Drosophila melanogaster: one gene and its partners. The protein of the gene in region 4 interacts with the protein of the main gene of each other region in a pairwise test. Each region holds a gene or a part of one and is shown on either strand. Other genes may lie near its edges.

Region 1 (6,655 bases), about 16 Mb from region 4:
TAGGTGATAATCCGTATAATCCGCCGAGTTGCTTACCTGACGCATGTGGAGTCATTCTGGTTCGCTATTATGACCGATTTATCCACATTCTGACACGCCTCATCCGCACTCCAGGTGCCCGCGTCCAGATCCTTTAGCGCAGGCGCGGCCCCGGCAAGCAGGCAGTGGACCAGGAGCTATTATGGGGTGGATTCTTTTGATTTGGGATATAGATCCAAGTGCAGTCCTTGCATAGTTACCAGTGATACAATTAGACTCGTCCACATTGTCAATTTAACCTTGCTACACTTCGCACACTGAAACCTTGGAGCGCCAAAGCGGCCTTTAAATACCACAGGATTTAATCTGTAGCATCGTTTATCTCGGTACGCTTTGGCAATGTAATTAATGTTTATTGCGTAGGTTTATTAATTTGTTTTGTCACCCGTTCTCGTACTCGTATGTACTTTGTTTATGGACTTCTCAGATATGTGCAAATTTCTGGGTAAACTCTGGGTGTTGTCAAGAACAATAATCCGGATGTTTTGAATATGTAGAAATGAATCTATTCGCTGAAAACCATATAACGTATAAACCATAAAACTTCCTACAAAAGCATTGCAATGCTATAATTTATTATTACTTTTTATTGGCATCAAGATTTGAAACATTTATAAGCTTTGGGTTCCAAGAAATTCAGATATAGCTCTAGCTTATTGGCGCTGCAGAAGTTCAAAGTGGCATGAAAGATGCCGTGGGATTTAGTTGGTTGGTGCCATTGCAGAACATTCATCTGGAACTTCAGACCGGCACATTTTCAAATTGGGATCAAAGTACTGGTTCACTTTGCAGCTCTTAATCAACGACAAAACTGATCCATTGACCACGTAACAATAAACGTAGCTGATAATGTATAATTTAAATATAATATAATTTTGGTTATTGTACGCCATAGACGTGACCTACGTTCTACAAGTTGGATCAGCCTGGTTTTCCATTATGGTGGTGGTTGTAACTTCGCTGCAGGCTTCTTCCGCACTCCAAGTCTTCGAGTTGTGGTCGTCAAACTCTGGAGCTGGCAAAGCCGTGAGGCAATGAGCCAGCAACTAAAATATATATGTACATATATTTCATTAGCACAGGTAAAAGATATTTTTAAAGACCTCACCAGTAAAAACATTATACGCAGCCACATGATTAGCTTAACCGCACTGCCTTTTGCTTTCTGAAGCATAAGAGCTCCGCGTGGCTCTTAAATAGTTACTGTAGTGGCCTGTTCCCCATCCTATCTTGCCAATTTTAGAAAATGGTATCATATGATTGTTTTATACTAATATTTTATTGGTTTCAATAAATCTGATAATGATCGATTACTGCTGTTAAACGGTCTGACTTAGGTGCAATAATCCGGTTTGTTTTCGCTGCACGATTTCAAGGAAGCATCAAAATATTGGTTGGTCTTACAGTTCTTTATCAAAGCTGTTGCCGATCCATTGATAAAATAACAATATAGGTACCTAGAAGAATGGTTTATGTGAGTTGTTCCCTGGAAATTCGTGGTCTACTTACGTGGTGCAGGTGGGGTCGTCTTGGTTTTGAAACAAAGTGGTCTTAGAGACAGTCAGGCAGGTTTTCTCCGCACTCCAGGGTTCCGCTGTGGTGGTACTCGCCGCTGTTGTGGTCACGGTGGTGGTGGTTGGGGTAGTGGTGGCTATAGTGGTTGTCGTCTCCACGCATCCATCCGGCTTTGTGGCGGTACAAACCTTTAAGCTGGTACTGAAATACTGATTAGCCTTGCATGAAGTGACTTTTGTCGAATGCGTTCCGTCGCTATCAACTGTACAGGTTATAAAACTGAAAAATGAACTCTTTAGTCTAGCATCGAAAACAATTTTCAGCAGTAGGGTATTCACGTGGTGCAGGTGGGATCATCTTCGTTTTCGAAAAAGGTGTTTTTAGTGTATTGCTGACAGATATCGTCGGCATTCCACGGAGCTTCTGTAGTCGTGATCTCAGTGGTTGTTGTGGTAATTGGGGTAGCAGTGGTAGTTGGGTTCTTAGTGGTTGTCGTGGTAATGGGGCTAGGAGTGGTTGTACTGGTTGTCTGGATCTCGGTGGTGGAAGTGTCCTCCTCTGTTTTGCAAACCGGATTAGCATTTTGATAGCAAGTGTAAAAGCCATCCGTGCAATAAAAGTCCTTTGGACATGGCAAGAGATCATACGATGGAACTCCTGGAAATTAAAACGTTGTCACACAATCCCCTTGTTTTTAAAGAAAATTTACAGACCGTCATAGCAGATGGAAAAAGTGGTTTCACTGTGACAAGCGACATTGCTATCACTTTGACACACATTGCACGTGGCCGCCAAATATCGAATCGAAAGCTTAAGTTTATTAAAAAGTGATTATTAGCCCGAAGTGCGCACAGTTTGTAGTAGTTACCAGTAGAACAAGCGCCTTTAGCCACATCTTTTTTGTCTCCAGTCGCCTTTCAATCTAAAATACTGGGGACAAACGGATCACCTTATATGTATCTTTGGTTATCTTTAGAGACTTGCCGAAAAAGTGAGATATTTTCTGTATGTTTGCTTAGTTTTATTGCGGTGTTAGGCTTTGCGTCAATAAATAGTACAAGGCTACAAGTAATTTATAAAAATATATTCACAAATTGAAGGCGCGTTCGTTAGCTGATAGCAGAGTACGAGTGTGGTTTACAACATATCTAGGAATACATAGAGTCGAGTCGAGTTAACAAAACACCAAATGAACGGATATAAATACTATTTTTAAATATCTTGTCTTATCTGCGAAAAAGAAAGCCTTTCGCTTAGGACGTACATTGAGGCCGGTACAGCTAATATTTAACATATTTTTTTATAGTTTTGTGTATATAGGGGTGTATACTGGATAGTTATATGTTCGCATAGTTGTCGCGTAGTCTTGTGGAGTTTTTAGATTGCATAAATAGGTACAAACTATAGTATGTACTATGTACTAGTCTAATTGTAAAATATTTCTTAAGGCAAATCATAGCGGTTTAAGCAGCACTTCACACTTACATATGTAACTTGCTTAAGGCAACATCGATGTTCTAATGCGTTTAAAAATAAATTCGTTAATTTCTAAAACGAAATAATACTTCGTCAGCAAATGCATTATGTTCGAGTTCACGTTGTGGACGTATACTGTTCGAATGATCTAGACGCAGCCGTACTCATACCAGATGCTATTGCTCTTGTCTTCGGTCCGCTTCCTTGCCGACTTGTCATCCTGCATGGTCGTTCCCGAGACGCTGCCGCTGGCCTGCAGCAGAGGGCTCTGGTCCCCGCTGTTCGAGGCTCCTCCGATCGTGGTGTTTATTCGGTTGTACATGAGAAACGTAGCTGGGCCCACCGGGGCATTGTTTTCGGTACTCTTCTGAGGCGTCTGAGGTTCTGCGGGTGTAGGAGGTGCGGCGTTGACGGAGCCACTGCCGCCAACAGACTGTGACTGTGTGGCGCCGGGAGTAGAGCCATCGGGAAGCTTTTGGTGCTCATCGATAAGATAAACGGTGCGTCTGGAACCGGCCGTTCCGAGAGTCAGACTGCTGCCCGTCACGTCTGGCGCTTCAAGACTGCTGCGAAGCAAATGATTTATCAGTAACTAGATGAATGCACTTTTTTAAACACAGGTGGGGAGCGACAACGAAGGGAAATACGCATTGTGCAAGGGGAAAGATGGAATAAGGATTAATAGTGGTCAATTGAAGCCTCGAAACAGACTTCGATCTGTTTCAATTGGCAAGTTTTAATGGGGTAGAATGAATGTTAAACATCAAAAGCGCATACCCGTGCACGCTATTTCTACGTGAGTTATTCAAATCCGTACGTTTCTGAGCCTGCAGGCTACTGCGCACGGCACCGCCGCGTTGGATCGAGTTATCCAGCAAATCCCTACTCCGACATAATGTACAGTGTTTGTTTGGTGCGAATGTCGAGTTGTGTATAATACATGTAAAAAGAACAAATACCGTGAACCCAAAAATCTAAAAAAAACATCAATTTCCAACCCAACTGAATGGCTTACCGCTGCAGACTCTGGCGGAGCGGGACATTCCTCTGGAGCAGGTGCGTGTCGGAGGCAATGGACAGTGGCTCCTCATTGCTATTATCCGACTCATTGCCGCCTGACTCGGAACCGATCACGAACTGGGAATTGGTACGGGCGTCATCTACCCAAGATCGACGGTTCTGAAAAAAAAAAAATATTTTTATGTTAAGTTTCTTTACATCTAGTTGTGAGTAAACTTACTCGACTGGGCACCTTGTTCATTAGATCCGAGCTAGCCTTCTTCACTCTTCTAACCAGCATGCTGGCAAATGGTTTTCTGAAATTTACAGTGATTGGCTTAATAACAAATATATTTTTGTATGGTTATATTATTTACTTCTTGTGCACTGTGGTTTCTGACTTCTTGTAATGCTCCATAATTTTCTCCTCCAGTTTTTCCTTCTGCCGCTTGAGGCTGTGCACCCGTTCGGTGTAGTTCTTCTCCTCCTCATGGAAGTGCTTTTTGTCCTCCAGGGATATGGCCAATAGTTCCTGATATTGAGAGAGCAATTGGGACACGTTGTCCATCAGAGCCTTGCGCTCCGAGTCCAGTTCAGCATTGTTTTGTATCAACATCTGTATGCAAAAAGAATATTAATAGAATATTATATCTTGACACTTTTTAACTCACCTCACAACGCTGCTGAACCTTGCTATACTCCATCTGTAGGCAACGGACCTGATCGCTCTTAGCATTTAGCTCGCCGGAGAGTTCTGTGTTTTGTAGCTTAAGGCTGGAGTGCTCCATGCGTACCATCTTGTACTGCTCCTGGATGTTTTTGTATTCGTTCTTGAAGCGATCGCTGGTGGCGAACAGATTGCGGAAGTCGTCTGTCAGTTTGGAGTGCTCCGTACGCAGGATTGACAGATCCTCGCTGCATGTTTTCATGTTGCTGTTCTGAATAGTCAACTCCTCAATGCGTTGCTCCAATGCCGACTGCTGTTCACGGGTATCTCGCAGCTCCTGACGCAAGTCCCGCACTGCAGCCTTTAGCTGCTCCTTGTCCTTGTTCAGAGACTCGTACTCCGCGGAGAGTTGATCATGCAGGCATTGCAACGTAACCTGATCCTGCAAAGCATGCTTGTGCTCCTGCTGCAGTGAATCGATCTCTTTGAGCAGCGAATCTTTTTCGGCAGCCAACTGGGAGTTTGCCAGCTGTAGGGCTACATGCTGGGTGTTCAGCGAAGTTATTTGCGAGCCCAGCGCAGCCACGTCCACGCTGAGCCGAGCATTCTCAGTCTGAAGCTGAGTGTTGGAATCCTTAATACGGGTCAGCTCTGCTGATTCTCGTGCTGGACTTAGACGTACCTTGTGTTCGAAGCGAAGTTCCTGCGAAGATGGTTGCGCTGGTGCAGGAGCTGGAGTAGCCGCGAGTTCAATGTTCTTTTCCACCGTAAAGATCTCCTGACGGTGGCATAGCACACACATGTCGGACTTGACGCCACCTTCTCGTTCCTCCTCCTCCAGCTGCTCTCGGGTCACGTTTAGCATTATCTCGCGAACCGTTTTAAAAGTCTCCGGGTTGCGCACCAACTTCTCCACCACATGCTCCACATTGAGCTCACCGGGCTCTTCGTCCGCCAATCCTAGTTTCTCCAAGTTGTTTCGCACTTTCTTCGTTACGAGAGTACCAGTCACCAAGTCGTTTCGAAGAGTACTTATCATCTCTTGATCAATGATGCGCTGTGAAGCTAGCTCTTGGTTTTGCTTCTCCAGTTCCACAAGCTTTTGATGCACTTGCTCCGAATCCTCAAGTGCTTTGCCCAGCTTTTGTAGTTCTTTGCTCTGGACATCGAGCCGATTAATACTGTCATCCAGCTGCACAGACTTTTGCTCGCTGCCCTCCTTGAGTTTGGACACTTCCTTGAGCAGGCTGGCGTTTTCGCGTTCGTACGTGGAGACCCTTGCTTCGATCTCATAGAGCTTCTGTTTAGTAAGCTCGTATTGCCTTGATTTTTCCAGGTATTGCTCTAGTTCCTTTGTCTTGCTCTCCGCCAACCGTTCAAGATCGTCGGCTCTTCGCTGAATGCTTTCGTTCAGGGTTTGGATACGTTGCTTTTCTTTGTTTAAGGTTTCGACATGCTGCTCGGCATCAGAAAGCTTTTGACGGTCAGCTTCGCGTTCCAGGCTCTGTCGATCGTAGCTTTTTTGGCGATTATCCACGGCATCCTGTAACTTTTTGTTCTCCTCCAGGGCATTTTTAAAGACCCCTTCCAGTTCGACATTCTGCTGAGTCAGACGATTGATGTTTTCTTGCATCTGTTCGATTTTTAGAGACAGCTTTTTCTTCTCCTTTTCCAGTTCTAGCATCTTGCTGGTGGATTCGTGGAAGCTACTCTCTTTTAATTGTTCCAGAGCGGCGGTCAAACGACGGTTCTCCAGCTCGAGCTTGAGTGCACGGGTCTGAGCATTGTTCGTTAGCTGTTCCGAAAGACTATTGTCGCCTGAGTTGCAATCGTCTTCGTTTTCGGAAAAGGATTTATCCAAATCCATCGTGGAGTTGAGATTCCTGGCTACCAGTTGCAGTTGCGAGTTCTCCTCCAGCAACTCTTCTAGCTTGGAGCGATCCACGTCCCGTTCGAGAG
Region 2 (7,713 bases), on a different chromosome or scaffold from region 4:
CATAACAGTTCGCTTGACTTTTGTTTGCGCAATTCGTTTGAAGAGCCCTCTAGTGGTCAGTTTTCTCCAACGCACAACATCACTGAAAAAAACTATCGCTCAACTTCAGTAAAATGTTTAGAGAGGTGGCTCTAAACACGAAGTTTATGTTGCTAAAAGAAAGAATATTTTCATATTCCGATGGATGTGCCCGCTGTAAGGAAAGTGCATGGATAGGAAAAAAAGAAACCGCTTTCGACTATTATATACCCTTTACACGAATCATTGGAGAGAAACATAAACATATATATGTAAGCCTTAACGCTTTTGCTTCCAACTTTTTGTTCCACATGTGCTCATAATTTGTTTTTGCGTGGACTAACTTAAAACATTTTATATAGTTATCGAGAACGTTCATACGGACGGACAAACGGACGGTCAAGGTGAAAAACTCAAAATATTTTGTATCACCGGTATCGCGAACCTATTTTGAAATCTTAATTATTGTCGAAAATATTGTTGAAAGTAATTTTTCTAAATATATTTGGTATTTTAAACGACATGTGTTTGGTACTTGTAGTTATGTACATATTATTTTAATATTCGAATGTGTTAAACATTGCTTTAATAAAAAGATTAACTCAGTTGCTTGGCAAGTAACGCTGGGTTTTCGTATCAAAAACAAACCATACACTGATGACACTTAGATTTGAGGAGTTTGGTTTCTTATTCAGTAAATATTCACTAATAGTTATATCGTCTCCGCCGGTTGGTGTAGTGAATGGCCAAGATGATGGCCAGCAATAGAATGACAGCCTATAAGAAATAAAGAAATGAGTTAGAAATTTGCTCCACCGTAATAGAAATAAAGAGCTCTTACGTTGAATCCGAGCAGACCCCACTCCAAATAGCCCAGAGTGGTTGCCTCATCTGCAAAAGCCTCCTCCACTTTGATGAGGCAGCCGCGCACATATAGATTCAGTGGATTCACACAGCTGTCGTCCTTGCAACAGCTACTTGGAACGGTATTGTTCCAGAATTTGATATCCAAGTAGTCTTGGGCACTGTCGCGGCCACAGCAATAGTACTAAAGTGATAGAAATATATAAACACCAAAATTAAAGGAGAAGGCTAAGCATACATAAATATGTACTTCAGCAGCTTTGCGCAATTTCTAATACTACATTATTAGAAATAAACATAAGCTAAAGCGTTATATTCAATTCAAACCATGTAAGATAACACTAGCTAAAAAAGAGCACGGCCCTAACGCCTATCTACCTTTTGCTTATGTACTTATGTATATAACAAAAAAAATTCCAAATTAAAGCACTCTTTTAATCTTTATTTTGGAAGCATTTGAACAAACAAACTAGCCTTTGCTTTGTTACATTGGCACTCACCGTTTTCTGAATAATATCCATACTGCCAGGCTTCGTCTGCTCCAGCTCCCACTGATTCTCCACCGTTTGAAGCGCGTACTTTTTAAATACATCTTTGGGATTCAGGATGATAAACGCCACTATAAGTAGCAGCAAAATCAGCAGCAGTGACGCATACTGCAAGGCAATTAGAATTATTAGCTCATGTATGATTCACCTAATTGCAATATTCAGTTACGTACCGTCCAGAGCATGCGCGGCGATTCGCGAACGGCTCCACAGCATCCAAACAGGGATATTACCAGGATAGTACCGCCCAGAATTAAGATGCCGATGGCATATGCATCTGGCATTGCTCCCCAGCCAAGGCCGCCAAAGATGAGCACCAGGATACCGAGTATCTAAAAGTCAGAAAATTAAATAGTCAATAAATATGTCCAGCATCCTCTAAATTATGAATATTATCTATCTATGTAAAAAATTGCCAAACAAAATTGGGTTTATAATCTCAGACCGCCTAGCCCTAAAAGTTTTTATAAAACACACATGCATAAAAGCAAAGATTAAAACAAGTCGAGTTCCCCGACTATCAGATACCCGTTACTCAGCTAGTGTGAATGCGAACGCTAATTTTTATATTTTTTCTGGAATATCGATAGATATTGGGGAATAAAATGAGAAAATTTAAAAATTGTTCAAAAGCTTGGACAAGCTCGATTTTGTGGGCGTTAGAGTGGGCGTGGCAGCATGGGTCAGCAAACTTACGCTGCGTCTTTGTCGCTAGAAGCTGCATGCTGAATCACAACCTTCTAGTTTTTATTGTTCCTGAGATCTCCATGTTCATACGGACAGACGGAAATGGCTATAGATCGACCTGTTCAAGCAAATATAGTATACGCTTTTACGAGTAATAGACGTAATTAAGAAAACAAAAAATGTCTCTTAAATTGTTTGAGCGACTGCGTTTTGGAATCATGACAACATTTTTTTAAAAGCGCTGAAGTGGGAAGTTCATACGGACAGAAAGACAGACGGACAAACGGACATGACCAGACCGAGTTGGCTAGAGAGTGTGATTAAGAATTTGTATACTCTCTAGGGTCGAAGAAGAATTCCAAAAGGATCAGTCAACAATCTATTAGGATTGGGCTTACATCAGACCATCGCGGCCTTGAGAAGGCCACAGAAAGTTTTGATGCATATGGGCACCGACTAATGCGTCGAGCTCGGCCTCATCGCTATTTTCATCATTATCTGGTGAATAATCCGGTTTCCATATTCCGCTCGAATTAGCCTTTCAAACGAAATCCGAATGCATGACGCACTTCAGCAACCTCGTTTCGCCGCTTGGCTAGCAAGCCCTCCTCTTGGCTTAAGGAACTAAAAGGCCGAGCAGAAGCCATTAACAATAGACACTGGCTAACACACACAGCCAGCCGCGAAGCGTTGTCATAAACCAAACACGCACCCGAGATGATATCATCCACCGACCAGGTGGACGTGGAACGGACAGCATAGACCCCAAACACCGAGGCTCCCCTCACACAAATTTCAAACCATCGCAATTAGCTGGCTATTTGTAGAAAAGAACCGGCAGATACGCAGATATATCGCTTAGACTCCCAAGGCACCATATGCCAATTCCAATTCGGTGCTCTACTTACCGCCCATAAGGCATTGAACAGGAACAGCGAGTACTTTATGGTGCCCGTTGCGCAACCCATTTCGAATGTTTTTCCACTTCAAACTTTTGCCTTTGGCTAGAATGCAACCGAATCGCAGTGCCACAAGTGCGGCAGTTTGCTGTGCCGCCGATTATTTTCAGTTTTTGAGTCCGTATCGGCGGAACCTGACTGAATCGGTTAGGAGTGCGCACTGGTGCGGCCACGGTCACGAGCAAACTGAGCTCCCCGAAAACTCTCTCGCTCGGAATCCGATCCGAGTCGAGCGGTCCGAAGCTCCAAAGCTGCCGCTTCTGCACCGTGGGTTCAATGAATAGAATAGCAGCTGTTCATGGAGCACCAAAATTATAGTGACGAACACTGCTCCTAATACTTAAGGCAATGCAGAGTGTTTCGGCACGAATCAAATGATATGGACTTCCTGTACGAATATGAAATACGTAATCAATTTTTAATCAAATATCTTCTCTAAGCAAGCTCTACGAAATTGATTCTTTTAAATTCATTTTCACAATTGAACAGTGATTGAGTTAAAATGATGTGCCCCACAGTGCCAGCTAGCAGTGTTTGTTAAAGCAAACAAAAGCAGCCGGGCACACACATTACTATACAGTAGAACCTCAATAACCCGCTCCCAGACGATAGCAAAAGTTCATTGCTTATTGTATTGATTTTCGTTGATACCATAGATGTTATTAAAATGAGAGGTTACAAAATATATCACTATCTTGTTATATTGATTTGTCAATTAATATACTTCGAGTGACTAAAATCCATTTAGCCGAATTCGCCTGCACTCGCAGTAGGCAAATCAAGAAAGTTAAAGGTGGCGGTGGCACTCTAGTGCGGCTCCCGCCATTCGGAAGCCAAACAGAAACTGAGGCGGGAAAGTTCGAAGCGTGGAGCTGGTTATGCTTGACAGAACTGAAGCGAAATCTATATGTCTCCGTTTGCCAGATGTTTAGCCGCGGTGTGTGTCTTATCGAGAGCGGAGTTGGGTCTAATCGACCACCGCCTCTCAAAGCAATTTACCAACGATCGAATTAATGCCGGTAAGATTGATTCAGCTCGATTGCGTCAGACACTCGGCACTGAATGACGCCATCAACATCACCGGATGAGCTCAGTTTCCGATGCGGAGTGCAGGATCCTGACTTCCACTATCAAAATAGAAACCCTAAATGCATTGCTCACTTTGTGTGAATCTTAAAAGTATAGGAGCTATATACCGAAAGACAGCTGAACTGACCCTGTTAGGCAAATACATAGTTACAAATACAAAGTTACTAGTTTAAAAATCACAATTTTAATCAGTTCGGATTGAACCCTTTGTATAATCGGAAGTATTCGTTTCATCGGGATACGCTTTTATTTCTCCTGGGAGCATCAAAAACTTTATACAAGATTACTGTAAAGGAATATTGGCGCCCTAATAATATATTCAGAATTCTACGAAAGTATTCCTTAGTAGGTGTAGCGAACGCGCTGCTTCCTGAATCTTCCGACCAAGTAAAAGGCGGCAATCATCATTAGAATCTGTAAAAACTCTGTAAGATTAGTCCCTCCATGTGTAGTTCACACATTTCACTCACGGTTATTCCCAGTGCTATCCAGTTGGTATCGTGGGCGTAGCTGAAGAGCACCACAAAGTTCTCACTGGACTTTTGGACGCAACCAGCTAGATAGTGGGGCATCTGGGGGTCCTCCTGGGGATAGCAGCTGGGCGGCAAGGTTTGACGACCGATGGCCACGTAGTCGTCGGGGCTATCACGCCCACAACACTCGTACTGTTAAGATAATTCATAAAAATGATAAACGATAATGCCAGCATATTAAATATATTCGATTAAAAGTGCATGATGCGAATGATCTTCGCCAGAATACGAACCACTGTCTGGTAAATGTCCATGGCGCCGGGTTCCACCAGCTCCTCGTCCCATTTCATCTGAACCTCCTCGGCGGCGAACTTCTCTATGTATTCCTCAGTGAACTTGAAGCGGAAGATGCCTAGCAAGCTGATTATTAGCTGAGCCAACAGCAAGAAGCCGTACTGTTGACATACAACACACAACATAGAGTGAGTGAATTACCAAACGGATGACATAGCGTTTCCACTCACCGTTGCGGTCATGCACACGTTCTCCATGCAGATTCCACAGCATCCCAGTACAGCCGAAACGAAGATAATGCCACCGAGTCCATATAGAAACAGAATGTAGGCGATAGGGGCTTTCGAGAGGGCCAACGTTGCAATGGCTATCAGGGATAGACCCGAAAGCTACAGAGGGAGCATAGGGTCAATTCAGATTAGCATTTGGCAATGATATCGGGTGGTAATGTCAATGACTCCAATGGAGCTTGAGGTATTTTCAAAATATTATCAAATGCCGCGGTGAAGAAACTAGATTTTCCCGTTTATCTGGGCACTGGAATCTCTGTTATTTGATTTGGTGTTTCACAATAACGTTCGCTCTCTTAGTGCTAAATAATGAGTTATTTTTAAAAGGATATGGATAAAACAAGTTTTTGGCAGTTAAAAATCTTGTTTTCTTCCATAATCTTCCATAAATTGTAAATATGGTACAAATCGCAGCATATGGTAAAGTCGTAAAGCATTTCTAGATCAAACAAATTGAATTTGGAATGTGTTGGGGCTAATCATTAAAGTGCGGCAAATGTTTCTCATACATATCTGACAAGCAAATTACGTTTACTGGCCAAACAAATTTTCGATTCCATGAAAACGGAATGCGTACTTGCTTGTCGATTTGCAGAAAAATGTATTCATTTAAATTCCTGTGGGAACACAGATGGCTAATTTACATTTGTAATACATTCTTATAGCACAGAATTACCAATTTTTATTCATATGCATGTGAATATATGCATATGTTAAGAACTCACCGCGTTCAGAGTATTAAGAGTGTTAAGGAAACACTTAACGCAACCGGAAGTGCAGCCCATCCTAGTGCTACGATTAAGCTGTTTTTGTAAAATTCCAAACTAATTCCTCTTGAATAATTAGTAATAGAGAGTAATCTTTGTTGTATGATCGAACCTGCCAGATCGGAGTTCCGATAGACAATGAATTTCAGATGCAAATATTTGCCGGCAGCACGTAAAATCCCAAAATCACGATCTGCGCTCTTCAATGTTCTTTTGTTTTTCAGATCTTCGCAGCCGAATGATGCCGAATTCAATGAGAGAGAGATATAACTGCGGGGAACTCGTTTAGGCTATGGAAAGTATTTATTTTCTAATGGCATTTTAGCTAATTTGGTTAATTTTTATTATCAATAATCATGCAGGGGTATCCTCGGCCATCAGTCGTTGATGGGGGTCTCCTCGTCCTTTATCTTGGTTTTGGCATACTTGCGAGCCTTGCCCAAATGGTAAGCGGTGAACAAGCCCAAAAACTGAAAAATACATAAATTGTAATAATATAATATTGATATGGAATCGAAATCGAATAGACAAGCGAACTTTGTTAAAAAAATATTTTACTGTCTTAACGTCCTTACTACTTTATAACTTTATAACATCAAGCAAAAGCTCAACAACTGTGTACATAAATAGTAACGATCGCACCTTTGACATATTTAGTTTAAAGAAAACTTTAGTAACAAAAATGGTTTGAATGAAAAAACACACATCTTATCTTGGCAGGGATTTCTATTTAAGCGTGACGAATAAAAAAGTAGTTAAAATGTGTTCACTGAGTCAGTTGTGTGCGTTAATTCAAAAGTTATTGGATAACTCTTCCATAAGCGACGTGCCGAAACATACCCTTGTGCTCAAGTACCCTTGTGGCAAGTGAATTTTACCCTGCGTATGGTTTAATGTCTCACCTCGAGGGCAATGATCGCCATGCAGCTGTAGTAGTTGAGCTCCGCCTGCATTCTCAGAGTAGCTACCGCCTTGGTGGAGCATCCCTCCTCGTAGACGTGCGCCGGCTTGGAGCAGTCGAAGGCGTAGCAGCAGCTGCTGGGCAGGGCGCCGTGCTCCTCCTGAAGGTAGTCCTGCGGTCCCTCAATGCCGCAGCAGCCGAAGAGGCTGTGCACTGGCTGCATCTTGTCGTCGCTGTGGGTCTTTCGCTCGAAGAGGTCGCGCATGCGCTCCTCGAACCTGCCCATCAGCTGCTCCCGCATCGCCGTGAAGGTGAAGAGGTAGGAGCCCAGGGCGGCTATAACCAGGCCACTGCAAATTAGGTACTGAATGCAAAGAGGTTAGTCTGTGACTTGCAGTTGTGAACGCAGTTTACTCACGTATATGGAATACTTGTACGACACCTTCAAGGCCACGTACATGCCCAGGAAGGCGACTCCGAAAACTGCTCCTCCGCAAAGTGCCGACCCATAGCTGCCGTAGACGGAGACGGCCGAACCCCAGGTGGTCACGCCACAGGAGAAGAAGAACACGTTGCACGTCTGAACGAAAGGGAAACAAAATAGTTAGTTAAGTCCTTAGTACTAAGGAAAATTATGGACTAAATTACTTCCTAATCTATTTCTTCTTGAACGAACATCTTTCTCGCAGAGTTAGAAACTAAAACTAAAAGTGTGGCCCCAATAACTTAATAAATTACTTGCCAAGGTTGTGCGTATGAACTTCAGGAACTAGCTATATGGAATGCATTATTATTTAACACCTACCGATAAGGCGTAATAGTT
Region 3 (9,107 bases), on a different chromosome or scaffold from region 4:
GGTTCCTATTCTTGAGATATAGGTGGCGTTTTACGTCACTTACCCTTCTCTTACTGGCACTAATTTCTGACTGTTCATCATGCATCCCATGACATCCAGAAACAACTCCGGCAGCAATTTATCTAAAATCGCACTTTTAAGGCTCTTGGTCCGTCCCATCTTGCTACGGATTTCGGTGGTTGCCACATAGTGATACTTGTCGGTATTGGCGCAAAACTTTCCCGTCTCATCGCATTGGCGAACCTGTCTATCCGCCAGCCTCTGCAGTTCAAAATCCCAGCCCATCGTCGGCATGCGAGCGGCTACCGAATAGTTGCCCACTCCACTGGCCACATAGTTGCGCAACATGTTGATCCTGCTGAGGATGCCAGTCTTCAAGGCTCCATTAACGTTCAGGAACAGATTGTTTTTCCCGCATTGCTCACCTACTGCCTGCAGATGAGGTGGTTAAATCACTACAATCTCGAGTAATGATAGCTACTACCTTAGGTTGAAAGCAGCCCACATGAATTTCCGAGTTCATGCAGAGATTGGGCTTACAATGGGGATCATCTTCTGGTATCAAGCTCGCAGTTAGCGGTAACAAAAAGAGGTACAGATACCACATCTTCATCTCGTGGCAAAAGTAATTTAACTAACGTGTAGAGCTATCTTATGACCTAGATTTATTAAATGCAGCATGAACGAATCAATTAAGCTCGCCCAATTGCAGGGCATTGGGATTAACATGCTCCTCGGGTGAGCAGAGCCCCTCATATATGGAGTGGGTTCCCGCATAGCAGCGACTTCCCGGATGAGCACTTGCCCGGTAGACCAGCTCATTGGCGATCTTTCCGCGCGAAAAGTGACATAGGACACCGTACTGATAGAGTCCGCTCGTTTGGCCTTTTCGCAGCATCATGGCACAGCCGACATGGGCAGCCAAATCTTGGACCAGCTGGGTGAAGTAGCCGCGACACTGTCTGCAATCGTGGATTAGATATACATCAACCTCTTGAATCTCTCACTCTCACCCATCCTTGGCCGGTTTCTCGGCATTGATGTGGGCCATCGTGCAGCCCTTAACATCATCCATCCAAAACTGCAAGACAAAGTCCAAAACGGATATGGGATCCTTCTCCAGTTGCAACCACTTGGTACTGCCATATATATACGACACATAGCTGAACTCATCCGTATTGCTGCAGTAATCGTCTATATAGTCACAACGCCTCAAGGCAAACTTGGCCAACCCGGCCAGTTCCTCGTGCCACCGGAGTGTTGCCATCCGGGAAGCTGGACGCAAGTGCGGATACTGACCCTTAGCCACGGTATTCCGAAAATCGTTTAGGACGGCCAGGAGATGGGCACGCATGTGCATGGGAAACTTCATGATGATCGCTTCACTGCCACAACTCTCGTCAAAGTCCTGCGAAACTCAGACAGTTACTGAGCAACTTGATGGGAAGCCAAACTTACGCCATAATTGCGGCAAGCGATATGCGTTATTTCCGGCAGACACAGATCCTTGTTGCAGTAATCCGTAGATAACGCCTCCTGGCTGATAAGGACTATTATAAGGACTGAAAGAAGGTACAACATCTGGTGCCGATTGCTGGAGTCAAAATACAAAACTATTTTGAAGAAAACTGATCTATCTATACAGCGTAAAATCCATTGTAACTGCCTAAATGCAGCGTGACAATTCTATAATATATAGAGCTATTACTAGTTTTATTTCCAACAGACAGCCATATTCAACAAGGAATCCAAAAAGCTAGAAGGTTATTATTAAGATATAAAATTTACAATATGTGTAAAACATTGGAATTTCGCATGACTCAATTAAATCAAGGTAATAAAAACATAAAACATAATTGCGCATCTCAACTAAGAAAATAATAAATAAAAACTTTCGATTGGAATGTAAATCCACTAGTAATCTTTAGAAACCCATTTACCCACTGCTTTTTCATTGGCAAAAACATCCGAGTGCAGAAGTAATTGAAAACATGTTTGCATTTCTTGTTTTTGTGATTTTGTGAAAGTGCACATCGAAACAAATGTGCTTCAGTTGCATTTGATGTGCACTTCACTGGTTTATTACAATTAACACTTCATGTAGTTCAGTTTGGTTTTCGTTTTGGATTTGCTTAATATAGATGTATAAATAGAAGGTTGCGCTTAAGTTATATGTACACTTTACATACATCACATGGAATATAAAAATGGCTCGTTGTGCGATCGCTTTCACTTGGTTTTTTACCAGGAGTTTGGAGTTTTTTATGCAAGAAAACATGGAAAGTAAAGTGTTCAGCTGAGTAAAAAAGCTATAACGAGACGGAAAGGGGATCCTCAGTTCACAGTGCGATTTCACTGGCCAAAGTGGGGATTGTAGGGAGCTTGCTTCTCATATCCAGCGGGCATAACACTAGGTCCTGGATTAGCCATGGACATGTCATACGGCGGCGGATTCATGTTGGCAGCCCCGGCGCCAGGATACGTCGGATACGCCACGCCATGCGTTTGCTGACTGCAATGGATAAAAGCATATCAATTAATATTTGCGTTTCGCTGGAGCACTAGCTTCCACTTACCCCGGCATCGGCATAGGCATTGGCATTTGCTGCTGGTTCTGGTGGCTCATCGGCATGGGCATCTGCACAGTCACGTTGCTGCTGGGAAAATGGGGACATTAGAATAGTTTGCGGCAGCACTTTAGGCTCCGTACTTACCCGGTGGTCTGTACGGGGTACGAGGTCGCAGTTACGTAGGCATTGCTCGATGGATAGCCCGGCGGAGGCAGCTGTGTGACCGGATATCCGCCGGGAGCCGTGTGGGTGGCGGAGGTCACCACCACAGGCGCTGAAAGTAGAAAGAACGGAAAAAAAGAAATTAGAAACAGAAAATAGCTGCGCCAATGATTCTGAATCATCGCCAACCGCGAATCGCAGACTCGATAAGCTCCCACTTTTGATTAGACTCATCAGTGTGAACAAAAATTCCCCTTTCAGCACTATAAAAAATTTTCAATATTATATTAATCTAAATTAATGTAAGTCATAAAAACTTGATGTATATTATATTTTGCTTTTTTAATTTCATTTGGGGTTTTTTTGGTGTAATTTCTGTGCTTTTTTTTTTTTTTGAGCTTTTAATCTTATCCACTCAATTTATTTATAGAAAAGGGTAATAACAAGCCCGTGTCACGTTTATATGCACTATAAATACATTTTGTGTTATAATTAATATAAAAAATATTTTTAAAACATATACTGCCTGTATCGAAAACCAAGAATAAGAAAATACTTCACACTTAGACAAATAAGATAAGGCTCAACAAAATTTGCTGCACCACTATTTCTTTAAGTGTAATTGGCAATCCATTCATTGCTCAGTCAATGTAATTACCAACGCCTTCGCTGATTGTGTAGCCAACATTTCGCGCTGCTTTCTGCCTGCGTCTAATGCAAACAACGAAGGAAGTAATGAAAAATATGGCAAAGGCTATAGATAATCCAACCCAGAATGCCCACATTCTCGATAAGTCAGGGAATTTAGCTCGAAAAAACACAATCGCTTTCCAGGCGAACACAGAACAGACTGCAAGTCCTATGTCTGACAAAACCCACTCACTCGGACCGCGTCTAATCAATGTTCGATTTTATGGCCAATACGATAAGCGGGTGGTGTACTTGCATTATGGTTTTGTTTATCTCTGATATTGGCAGTACGAAACAGCTTCAAAATTACATAAATCATAAAACATAAATAACTCTTCCCGTAGCTGCAGCTATTTACCCATGGATCTGAACTTCTTGGCTATGCAAAAGAAGCAGAGGCACATCAACGAGGCAATCACTATGAAGACTGAGACTGCTATGATGGGAATAACAAACGGCTCCATCGCGAATATTATTCTATACACGCTGAACTGGTGCTACAGCGTGGAGTTCACGATTTCAACTGTTTCATGACATTGGGGTTTTTGTGTTTTTTTTTTTTTTTTGTGTAAATGGGAGATATTGGAAACCCATTGGACGGCCGCGTTATCGCCACAAACGGGTGATCCCCGAAAACACACCTGCACCCTTGGTGAGCGCCGCTCTCCGGGTTCGACCACGGGTCAGAAATACAGCCGCGGATGTCATGAAAAATACGGAGAAGGTGAAGAAAAGTATCCAGTAGATGCCCGAATCATCCATGATTATGATACTGACTGAATAAGCGGTGCACAAAGACTAAACAAAAGCGAGAAACTAAAGCCGCCGGATTGGCAATCGAAAAAGTGCCAGTAATGGCCAAAGAAAAGGGCAATCACACTCATAAAGATAGCACTTATCAGTGATAACAGTACACTTTCAACCATTATCATAACTTACTTAAATCACCGAGAGCCTGACGACGCTTCCAATGTAGTGCAACCAGGCCGATCAATGCCAAAATGAATATTTTGAAGGTTATGCGAAAAACGGATATGAAAACCACAGAGCGTTCCTGGGACTCCAGCAAGGAGCTGACCTCCGTTTCGTTATTCATTTCGGGAATACGTTTACAAATTGTTCCAATATCGAAAGTCTTCCGGATTTCGAGCAAGATTTAAGGCATATATCACAACAAGGGCAACCAAAACCGTGAGGATACAAGCTTCGTATGCCAGAAATGTCCAGTTTATGTGCAGTCGCTGGGAAATGTCCTCAAACACATCCAATATGGTGGCATTCATCGTGAGGACCTGCGACCTAACTAAATGGGTTTCATAATCATTTTCTGAATTACCCTGCATTTCGGGATCAACGTACGTCAACACTCAATCCTTTATGACCATTAGCCATTAATACCTAATTATTGATTTGCGTTTAGGCGTAAACGAAGCATTTAGTGGCACATTTGGAAATGGAATCCGAAATAGTAGGGAATCACAGTCGTTGTTATCAGCATATATTGCACAAATATAACAATAACACCCAGTCATTACCCACTCCAAACCAAGTCCTAAATCTCAGTATACCAAGATAGCCGGACTATTTCACAACAGAGGCTTTTAAAGTTTAGGATACTGGATAAGAAATTATTTTTAATTGTATTTGGAGGGGAAATTAAAAGCCTTAAATATGTCTTACATCTTTTAATATTAACTCGGATTTCTCATGCAAAAGACTTTACTTCTAGCTAAAGAACTAAATTCGCACACAATCCAAAATTTCTTCTAGACAATGACTTGAATATTTGAACCATAAATAAAATTGACAGTGCAGATAGGAAGCAAAAGCACTAAACCTTGGGCAATACCCATTATTATCATATATTTATCAATTTACAAGATCAAGTTAGGAAATCTAATGCAGACGCTTTGAATGACGTCTTCGAGTAATGGATTTAATTAGAAAAACAAGTTTTTCAGTGTATTAGATGCAGATACCGCTATCATGTGAGTTTTTACCTCTATTTACATGTGGCAATAATGAACAAAGTGACTCAAAGTGGACAATACGCAGAATAGTTTCAAAATGTTGTTAATTTTATCATTAAAAATTATAATTATAAAATAACTACATGCCACTTGATCTAACTACATAAAGCGGAAATTTTTGATTCATTAAGATGTGTCTCTTTTTAAAGCAGACAGCAGCATAAAAATAATAAGTACGGTATCTTAATAATGGGTTACCAACCTTTACAGTTTTTAATCTCCTTTCCAATTTTTAATCGTAGGCATATACAAATGGCCCCAATACAAATGGTCAATACAAAAATCGCAAACACTATAATCAAACTAAAGTCGTCTTCATTTGAATTCGAATTGAAAACATTCACAAAAAGAAAATTCATGATTGCACTGCAAACGCGACCTATAGACTAAGATAACTATCTGAAACTGCAATTATCTGTGAGTGTTAATAGATGCTGAAATAAGAGAGTTGGCTTATCGTACAGATACGTTAAGAATTGCTCTTACCTTCCGTCTTATTGCGTTTACAACAAGAACAACAACACTTGCAATAGCCCCAGATAAAAAGCATAAAAATGATTGCTATTAATCTGGCACCCGCTTCAGGAAGTTTATCGACACTTGGAGCATCGTATTTAGGTGGCGGTGGGAATTCTAAAGGAGGCATCTTTTTTCTAGTAAACACGTTTGACTGCAACGAACTGAGTAAATGAACTGGTCGAACTGTGTGTCTAAGCTCAGATCTTTTTGGACTGAATCTGGGAAAAAATTCAATTCACTAAGCCCTTTTTATTACGATAAGAAAAAGCGGACGAAAAAAAATATGCATGTTATCGTTTAGACTGTGTGTAAAATATTTATCCAGAATACAGAAAACTTATATAACCAGCTGGATTTTCAGTATTTAACAAGTATGGATGAAACAAGTACTACTTAGCTCTTTGTTTAATTTTAGTAATTTAGTGAACCATTCGCACATTTTTGCAGCGTACTTTTAGGCATAACCAACCAGAAGCCGCTAAAATACCCAATAAATATAAATTCTTGTCTTCTTTGTCTTTCCATCTGCTTATAGAGTCTTTGATATGTGACATCATAAATGGTCTCAAATGTATAATACATTTATTAAGATTTACAACGCACAACAAGTACGTAGTTCAATAAAAAAAACAAATTTGCGATCGATTTGAAATTTATGATTTAGTCACTATGAGTCAGAATTACACTCCATTTCCCAATGAAAGCAGTGACAACTACTATGAACTACAATATTACACCGAAGATGATTGAATTATTTGAAATTATAATAGGCTGACAAAAAAGGAAACTTTACGATCGAGCAGAGGTAAATGCAGTACAAAAACAATACATTGAAGAAAACTGCGATTGAAGTATATTTTGCCATTATTGGTCAAATTTTGCTAAATTCCAAATCCCTACCGATCCGAACGAAAGGAGCAAAGAAACTAAAATCTTAAATCACTTTAAATAATTACTCATACGCATAATATACAAAAGGTAAATACCACCATTCGCTTAAAAATTTGATTAGAATAATCATTACTCACTAAGCCGCACTCAAAAAAGTTTAAAAGATTTCATTACTTTTCTATGTGTATATCAAAAATTATGACCTTTGAATAGAAGTTTTTTAAACTTTTCTAAATTACTAAGAACGTAGTAAAACAGCAACATAGCGTTAATGCACCGAATGAATCAAAATATTTAACCAAAATTTGTAGAAAATTAAAATCATGGAAGCAATAAAAAAATAAAATTATTTTTTCAGTACCACATTCTTAAAAAGTACCATTATTTTTTTGAGTACGCTTAAATGTTGTAAACGACTTATAGTGGCTGCATCCGCTTTTTTTTTAAATCTTGTTCTTAATGTTCTGTTCACATCAGAATTAAATAAAACATATATTTTAAGTTCTTAGCAAAGGCAAATAGTGTATCCACTTTTTTTTTGTTTACGAAAAGAAAGCTACTATATATAAAGTAATTTTCTTAAACTTTGAATGTCGTCGTTTTTGTAAACTTTCTTATTTATTAAGCAGTTGATTCGGCAATCTTGTAGTGTTACAACCATGTAATAAATAACGAAACTAAGTAGTTAAACATAAAAAATTAAATAGATTGTTCTCCGTTCTCCATTTTGTTGAACAAAACAAGACACAGGAACTTCACACACGGAGCTTCGTCATCTGACAATTGGGAAGAACACAGGACAGCAACAAAGGATTTCTGCATCGAACTATACTAACTTGCTTCAATCACATCCTTGCCCGCCAGGCGCTGTTTCCTTTTGCGGATCACGTATCCTATGATCATTGCCACGACTCCGCAGAGGACCACAGCGAAAATGGTGCAAAGGATGATGGTGGAGATCTCCAGATCCCTGTCGTTCGGAACGTGCGGCATCCTAATCGAATTACTCACAACAATAGGTATTTACTAACTAATAGATTCTATCGGCAGGCAGTCTTGAGGATAGTTCGATGGGTCTTGAAACTACGCCACGGTGTTCATTACGCAGAGGTTCGACGATTATTGCGAATCGGATTCGATTCCTCGCCGACTTTTGTAAGAGTCCAGACTGTTTGCATATCCCCACAGACCCGAAGTCAGTTTAAAATGGTGGTTTGGATGGCAAGATAAGATTAGCAACCATCGCTGGGTTGGTATTGACGCTCTGGGCGTTTAATCGGCTTAATAACGCCATATAGTCCTGATATCGGTGCCAGAAGGTAGCATAGAATAGAGGGGAACCATAAAAGTTCAAGTGGACATTGTATTTACAGCTTGAAACCTGCGTCAATAGTCTACATCAATCAAAAATAAAATTAGGTTTGGTTTTCGAAATTTATTACTTCTGGGGGATCCTCAGAACGATGCGATTACTCTAAACAATTTCCACAAATCTTTGATCGTTTCTGACGTCAGTGCTAATCAAATAATTGAATTAGCCTTATCGAACGCTTATTATCTGAGATGGGAAACAATACAGCCGTTGGGGAAATTCACCGGTCAACAGTTGGACCCAAGATTTTTCTGCAGAAACGAAGTACGACTCAAGTGCAACGACAACAATTATTCTGTTGACAGAATGTCAATAATCATATTTAACTTATTTTATTATTTAATTATCTAAAGCTGGTCATAAGTAGGGGTAAATTATTTTCAATCAAGTACTCCTATGTACATGTAATTCAAGTTATTATATTATACACATATTATATATGTATATTTTAATTGCGTGCTAAATATTGAAATTTTGACCTAGTTAATCCATAACTCTATAGAGATTTGAAAGGTTTAAATAATAAAAATATATATATTTTTTTTTTGGTTTTTGTACTGTTGTGCAAATGTGTTATCGAACATAATAGAAATTTAAGTGAGAAAATTTTTCCATAAAAAATTTTTTGGTGTGCTGAAAAGTTGTTTTTCTGGGAGCATGGTACCAACTATTAACGACCGTCTAATCAACACCCTATCGCCTAATTCAAACAACACTAAATATAATTTAATATCATTCGGGCAAGGGTAAGAAGAAAAAACAAGACTTGACCTCAAACGTTTGCGAATATAAGATAATAAGATTGTCGAAAATGTTAAAAAGGCTACACGAGCCCGATTCGATTTGATGAACAGCATTGATGATTTGTAAATT
Region 4 (6,338 bases):
CTTACGGACGCCGCTATGGTCTGGTGGGACGCAATGGCCTGGGCAAGACTACACTGCTCCGCATGATTGCCGAGCGACAGCTACAGATCCCTTCGCACATATCGGTGCTGCACGTGGAGCAGGAGGTGGTTGGCGATGACACACCAGCAGTGGAGAGTGTGCTGGAATGTGATACTGAGCGAACGAGACTTCTGACCCGCGAGAAGGAGATTCTGGCTGCCCTTAACAATGGAGTTCAGGATGCGACGCTGTCCAATGAGCTGAGCGAGACCTACGCCTCTCTGCAGAACATCGAGGCGGACAAGGCTGTGGCCCGCGCATCTGTGATACTTAAGGGCTTGGGATTCGATGCAGATATGCAGCTGCGTCCAACTAAATCCTTCTCAGGCGGCTGGCGCATGCGTCTTGCTTTGGCCAGGGCACTGTTCTCAAAACCCGATCTGTTACTGCTCGATGAGCCGACGAACATGTTAGACATCAAAGCCATTATTTGGCTGGAAAACTATCTGCAGACATGGGCCACCACCATTCTGGTAGTTTCTCACGATCGCAACTTCCTGGACACGGTGCCGACAGACATTATTCACCTACATTCCCAGGAACTGGAGGCATACAAGTAACTATTACAAATTACAAAATGTAGCCTAATTTAAATATAAATTGTTTTTTCCCCAGGGGAAACTATGAACAGTTCGAGAAGACCAAGACGGAGAAGCTGAAGTCCCAAAGACGTGAATACGAGGCCCAAATGGCTCACAGAGCTCATGTCCAGGACTTCATCGATCGCTTCCGATACAACGCAAACCGTGCCTCGTCTGTGCAATCCAAAATTAAAATGCTCGAAAAGCTGTAAGTACAAAAATATAAATTAAAATAATGACTGGAAGAAATTTAAAACATCTACGTTCGCTTTGCAGGCCGGAACTAAAGCCAGTGGAAAAGGAGACTGTGGTCACGCTCAAATTCCCCGAAGTGGAACCCCTTAATCCTCCCGTGCTGGCCATTTCGGAGGTTACTTTCCGTTACAATCCAGAAGATCCACTGCCCATCTTCAAGGGCGTCAATCTCTCAGCCACATCGGACTCTCGAATTTGCATTGTCGGAGAAAACGGAGCGGGAAAGTCGACGCTGCTGAAGATTATTGTCGGTCAACTGAGCACTATTCACGGAAACATTGTCCTGCATCGCGGTCTTCGAATTGGATATTTTGCGCAGCACCATGTGGACCATCTGAATATGAATGTAACGTGTGTGGGAGTTTTGGCAGAACTGTTTCCTGGTCGCCCGGACGAAGAGTATCGCCGGCAGTTGGGCAGCTTCGGCATATCCGGACCACTGGCACTGCAGAGCATTGCCAGTTTATCTGGAGGACAAAAATCACGAGTGGCCTTAGCAAAGATGTGCATGGGTAAGATAGTGACTATCCATCTTCTTTCAATAACATTAACATCAACATAATATATTTATTTTATAGCGGAGCCAAATTTCCTGGTGCTCGATGAGCCGACTAATCACTTGGACATTGAAACCATTGATGCTTTGGGCCGAGCCATAAATGCCTTTAAGGTAAAGTGGACTTTAGTGGAAATTTACACCATGAAATACATGTGTACTGTCTTTCTTAGGGCGGCGTAATCCTGGTTTCCCACGACGAACGCCTCATTAAGGTCGTCTGCAAGGAACTCTGGGTGTGTGGCAATCGCACAGTCAGAGCGATCGAAGGTGGTCTGGACGAGTATAAGCGCGAGGTTTACAAGGAAATCGAAGCTAATAGTTGAATTAAATGTAATTATTAATTACTATATTTGTGAAACAGCCTAGCAATAAATTTATATTATGCCTGACACAAGATGAAAATTGTATTTTCGAAAGGATCATAACAAATATACTCAAGTTTATTGATGGGATTTAACTGCGATTTATACACTTTGTCATAGAAATTAACAATTAAAGAAAATACATTTAATTATATCGGTTGCTATTCCAAACTTATTCTTTTTCTGATGCCTGATGAATGAGTTTTCGGCGCAGTTCAAAAAGCAACAGCGTCAGAGCAGATGCCACATTCAAGCTATCGATGCCAGCTGCCAGCGGGATGTAGATGCACTTTCCCTTACCTCCAACCAAGTTTAAGAAACTGACAATATAAAAACATAATTAGCATTCCATTTTATAACTTATTCGTTTCCCCCCTTACCGGTAAGCTTCCTCACTGACTCCGTGACTCTCTCCGCCAATAATGAGCAAGTTATGGGCTCCAAGACCCTTGATATCTGCATAGTCAATGGTCTGGTTGTTCTCCCGCTTCCTTTGGTTGGTCTCGGCAATGAAAACATGACAGTCGTCGGCCGCCTCTGGCGGAATGGTTAGCGCGAGCTCATCCCAAGTTACATCATCCCGAATTGGAACTCTAAACTGACCGCCACAGCCTCCTCTCAGGGCCTTCGATTCCCAGGGATCACAGCAGCCGTGGGTGACCACCACCTGACTGCAGGGCAGCGCGGCGCAGGTCCTTATAATGCTGCCCAGATTGTTGGGCTCCCTGATGTTGTCGCACACAACTGTAATGGGAAAGGGCTGAGAGCCCAGACGCTGTTGCTCCGCCAGGTTTTTCTCCAAGCCTTTGTCCGACGGCCTGTCGAAGATAGCCATCAGACCGGGAGGAGTTACCAGCGATGACCACGTCTTTAGGTCGTGCTGCGGCACTTTGTAAATCTTGGTACCCGTCTCCACCTGTGCCACGCCTACTTCCTCCTTGACCAGAGCCAACTGATCTTTCTGGGAGAAGAGGAGTACTTCCATTTTGAGACCACATTGCAGGGCTTCCTGGATGAGACGACGGCCTTCGACGATGATCTGCCGGTTCTTATCACGGCGCTTGCGGGAGCGCACTGTGGTTAGTAGGGTGCTGGTAAGTGGATCCTGCAGAGTGAGACGCACAAACTCCAGATTCAGCTCATTGTCCTTAATTACTGGAGCGGGAGTTGGAGCCACTCGTGGTGCAGGATTAGATGGAGCTGAGAGGTTGCGAGATGCAACTGAGGCAAATGGCACCTTTGGTTTTCTACCGGCAAATCGATTCTTGCGTAAAGCTTCCCTCGTGTTCATCGGCTCATGCCTTAAATCTGAATTCCCGAATAGATTGGCCTCTATGTCCAGTGCGTCCTGGATCTCTCCTCGGGGACCACTGGAACTGCTCAACCGCAGCACATTTAAGTTATTCACATTCCTTATATTCGCTTGAAGCGAGCGTTTAAATATATTACACAGCATGGCCGATTCAATTCAATCCAATTCAACTTCACTGAACATCTGTTTGCATAGTCATGGGCGTAAGCAAACACATTTAAGGGGGGATTATTATTTTAATCCCAAAAAAAAATGCAGAAAAACTCTAAGCAAATGAATTTTTGCGATACAAGAACAAAGTGATTCATAATCTTAAATTCGAAGTCCCCCGAATCAGAAACTTCACTACGCCCATGCAAGCAGTGTTGAATAACGCGACAGTTAGGCAATCCAACACTTGTGTTAAACAGGCGGTTCATTTAAAATTCGGCTTTGATTAATAAAAATATATTTTTTATTTCACTTTTAAAATTTTTGTTAGCAGTTAATAACAATTGGAAAATAACTAAAAACTAATAGCGCAATAAGTTGTCCTACTCGGGTGTTACATAATTAAGCAGCCATAACATAATACAATAATTTAAAATAACAATGCAAAAGTCAAACGCCTTCAATTGCAAAGACGAGAGGGGGATAGTTTTGTAAAACAAAATTAATATGGAGAGCCAATATAAACAATTAAAAACAAAAGAAATTCATCTAAATTGGGGGCTTGGTGCGGTGGCGTAAGCACTAGTATTTAAATAAATCCTTATATTAACCATAATTCATAATCTGTTCCATCCTAGCCGGGACCGGAGTCCTTTCACGAAGTTTGTTCATAACAATGTACACTTTAGGATTACTACTATCACCGTTACATCTTACATGGCTAAATGCTAATTGTTAATTGAAGTTCCATAAATATTAATCAATGCCTCTAACTTTAGGCGTATATACACGGCTTAATCTACTCGCGTTACATCGGTTATGTTGAGTTGGCCGTAGAACTGCTACTGGACTGCTGGGTCTTCCGCTGCCGGGCGCCGCGTCCGGACAGCAGGTATGACAAGTCAATGGGTTGCTCCTGTGCCGTTTGTGCATCCAGACACTTAAGCTTCATAGTTATCAAAACGTTCTCTAAACGCGATTTCCTCTTCTTAAGCATCTTTAGGGAGATTGAAAACAAAGTTAATTGTAATAGATTGATTTCAAAACTTGTTCAAAACTCTGCACACCTGTTTATTGGGCGCCACGGGTGTTACGACATGGACAGCAGTTGCATCCGCTGGGGCACTGATCCCACGAGGCTTTCGCCCAACCATCTTGGCCTGATGCTGTTCCTGCCTGCCAGACACCTTGTGCATCGTTGTTGGCCCGGCTCCTACGTCTAATTCAGTCTTTTGCTTCCTTGTCTTCAGCAACGACGGATCCACATCATGGGGCTACACATTAATGCTCATTAGTTAACTGGCGTTATTATTATTTAAAATATTAAACTTACCGCATAGCTCTTGGAGATCTTAATCTTCTCGGGAAATTTTCTGAAGGCATAGCTCTTGGTGCAGGCTGGATGGTTGGCCTTGGCCTTTGAGAAGAACCTTGCCGTCTTGTCCACACGCAGCTCGCAGATGTAGCAATGATCCTCATCGTTGCATTCCATGGGGCGTCCTTTACAGAAAGTTGTTCGATCCAACACCCAGCAGCGTCCAATGACCAACTCAATGGGTACCACCTCATAAAGTGAAACTCGTACCACCTCATTGGGGTAGAAACGACGCGATGGTTCGTGGAAAGTTTCATGAGGACGCAGGAAATGGTGTCCGAATATAAAACGCTTTCCCAGTTCGTTTTTCCACAAGTGCTCCACCCGAAAGATATCGCACTCTTGGTAATCAATGGCTCCGATCGTTTCATAGGTGTGCTTCTTCGTCGGTAACACCTTGCCGGACTCATCCTTGATGGGGATGTCTCGTAGGACATAGACGGCATCGCCCTGTCGTACCTGCAGATCACCACGCATTAGGGAGAGATAGTAACGGTGTCCCTCTTCGGTAAATTCCTCCAGGGGAATTTCTCGATCCACTTCCCTTGGCTCGCAACGCTCGCACTGATAATTATCCGCATCGATGTCAGCTTTGGTACATTCAGTATGCTGCCACACCATGCATTTGGAGCACTGAATCATCAAGCCTTCATCTTTGTACAATCCACAAATACATCGGATTACATCCTCATCAGGAGAGGCCTCAATAGGAAGCAGGGGTGGCGGAGTCACTTTCAATGGCACAATTGGGGAATCTCTTTCCTTTGCTCCTGGTGATTTCTTCACTGCTATCTTTCCAGGTTCCTCCTCTGACGAAAGCACTTCCTTTGGTTTAAAGCTCTGCAACGATTCCGAATCACCAAGAATCTCCACCAGCTGAACATAGCTGGCGATCTTCTGTTGCTCATAGCTATCCTTCAGGGACTGCAGCGCTTTTTCCTTGCCCTCATCATCGCCGTGTTGCTGCTTGGCCTCCACAAAGAGCTGCTGCATGTGGTCATCGAATTCCTGCGGCGTTTTGTAATGTCCCTGCTCCACCTGGGCTTGTATCGATCTGAATTCCACTTTTGAAGTTGCAGCTGTAGAACCCAATTTTCCACTCAAAGTGGTCTTTATAGGCTTCTTTTTCTTGCTGGACACTGTCGTCAACAAATCGGACATTTTGAGGGTCTCCATGGCACTGCAAATATCCCTTAGAACTACAGCCATTTTGGCCATTTTCTCTAGTTCGGGATCATGCACTGCCTGTGTGAGTCCACGGGTTTTTATGTTGCGAGGCGAGCAGAGCGCGGAAATCTGCGCTGCCAAGGAAGGAGAAGATGGTGTGGAGGGACGTCTACCAGGAATGTCCCCATTAGTGGTGCCAAGTGCTGGCGAGGATGCAGTCGCCGCTGCATCTGACGCCCGCTTGGCCTTGCATCTGCGTATCTAATGAAAGATAAATAAATATTTTTTAATATATATTTCGTATATTAAAATAAGTAAACCAACCTTTTCGAAGTTCCTGACTAGAAATGTGTTGAATTGTCTGACCAGTTTCTTTTCTTTTTCGGACAATGGTTGAAGCTTTGCCACCGCCACTGCTGATGAAATATCTTTTCCCGCCTGCCGTTGAGCATGCTTTTTGGCCTTCTGCTTCCGTTGGCGCCCGTTTCGGCCAGAAAGTCCCTCTCCAGATGGCTTG

Evidence for each region.
Region 1: the proteins of CG14100 (region 4) and CG42494 interact in a two-hybrid assay, tested with the Drosophila melanogaster proteins (one large-scale study listed by BioGRID).
Region 2: the proteins of CG14100 (region 4) and Tsp42El interact in a two-hybrid assay, tested with the Drosophila melanogaster proteins (one large-scale study listed by BioGRID).
Region 3: the proteins of CG14100 (region 4) and CG17574 interact in a two-hybrid assay, tested with the Drosophila melanogaster proteins (one large-scale study listed by BioGRID).

Annotation. Positions count from the first base shown.
Region 1 is NT_037436.4:3,181,190-3,187,844, reverse strand, and holds CG42494 (uncharacterized protein), read right to left. Parts: upstream 2,485-6,655; 5' UTR 2,450-2,484; coding exon 2,423-2,449; intron 2,365-2,422; coding exon 2,268-2,364; intron 2,212-2,267; coding exon 1,893-2,211; intron 1,834-1,892; coding exon 1,549-1,833; intron 1,497-1,548; coding exon 1,373-1,496; 3' UTR 1,296-1,372; downstream 1-1,295. Other genes in the region: CG14957 (uncharacterized protein), read right to left, coding at 37-176, 240-266; CG32284 (uncharacterized protein), read right to left, coding at 741-882, 946-1,085, 1,148-1,174; girdin, read right to left, coding at 3,179-3,596, 3,808-3,912, 4,046-4,209, 4,271-4,346, 4,407-4,645, 4,701-6,655.
Region 2 is NT_033778.4:7,041,326-7,049,038, reverse strand, and holds Tsp42El (tetraspanin 42El), read right to left. Parts: upstream 3,271-7,713; 5' UTR 3,086-3,270; coding exon 3,026-3,085; intron 1,763-3,025; coding exon 1,604-1,762; intron 1,539-1,603; coding exon 1,383-1,538; intron 1,067-1,382; coding exon 860-1,066; intron 796-859; coding exon 724-795; 3' UTR 501-723; downstream 1-500. Other genes in the region: Tsp42Ek (tetraspanin 42Ek), read right to left, coding at 4,508-4,579, 4,636-4,830, 4,932-5,093, 5,163-5,321, 5,948-6,007; Tsp42Ej (tetraspanin 42Ej), read right to left, coding at 6,367-6,459, 6,892-7,254, 7,309-7,470.
Region 3 is NT_033778.4:12,847,385-12,856,491, forward strand, and holds CG17574 (uncharacterized protein), read right to left. Parts: upstream 6,157-9,107; 5' UTR 6,099-6,156; coding exon 5,939-6,098; intron 4,199-5,938; exon of another isoform or gene 4,185-4,198; coding exon of another isoform or gene 4,064-4,184; intron 3,960-4,063; exon of another isoform or gene 3,887-3,959; coding exon of another isoform or gene 3,781-3,886; intron 3,565-3,780; exon of another isoform or gene 3,518-3,564; coding exon of another isoform or gene 3,391-3,517; intron 2,845-3,390; coding exon 2,715-2,844; intron 2,658-2,714; coding exon of another isoform or gene 2,655-2,657; coding exon 2,577-2,654; intron 2,513-2,576; coding exon 2,353-2,512; 3' UTR 1,974-2,352; downstream 1-1,973. Other genes in the region: antr (antares), read right to left, coding at 44-432, 485-613; CG30486 (uncharacterized protein), read right to left, coding at 689-962, 1,014-1,408, 1,459-1,581.
Region 4 is NT_037436.4:19,587,206-19,593,543, forward strand, and holds CG14100 (uncharacterized protein), read right to left. Parts: upstream 3,320-6,338; 5' UTR 3,274-3,319; coding exon 2,198-3,273; intron 2,138-2,197; coding exon 1,990-2,137; 3' UTR 1,867-1,989; downstream 1-1,866. Other genes in the region: CG9330 (uncharacterized protein), read left to right, coding at 1-616, 676-849, 918-1,408, 1,475-1,566, 1,626-1,778; ash1 (absent, small, or homeotic discs 1), read right to left, coding at 4,097-4,276, 4,347-4,553, 4,613-6,082, 6,146-6,338.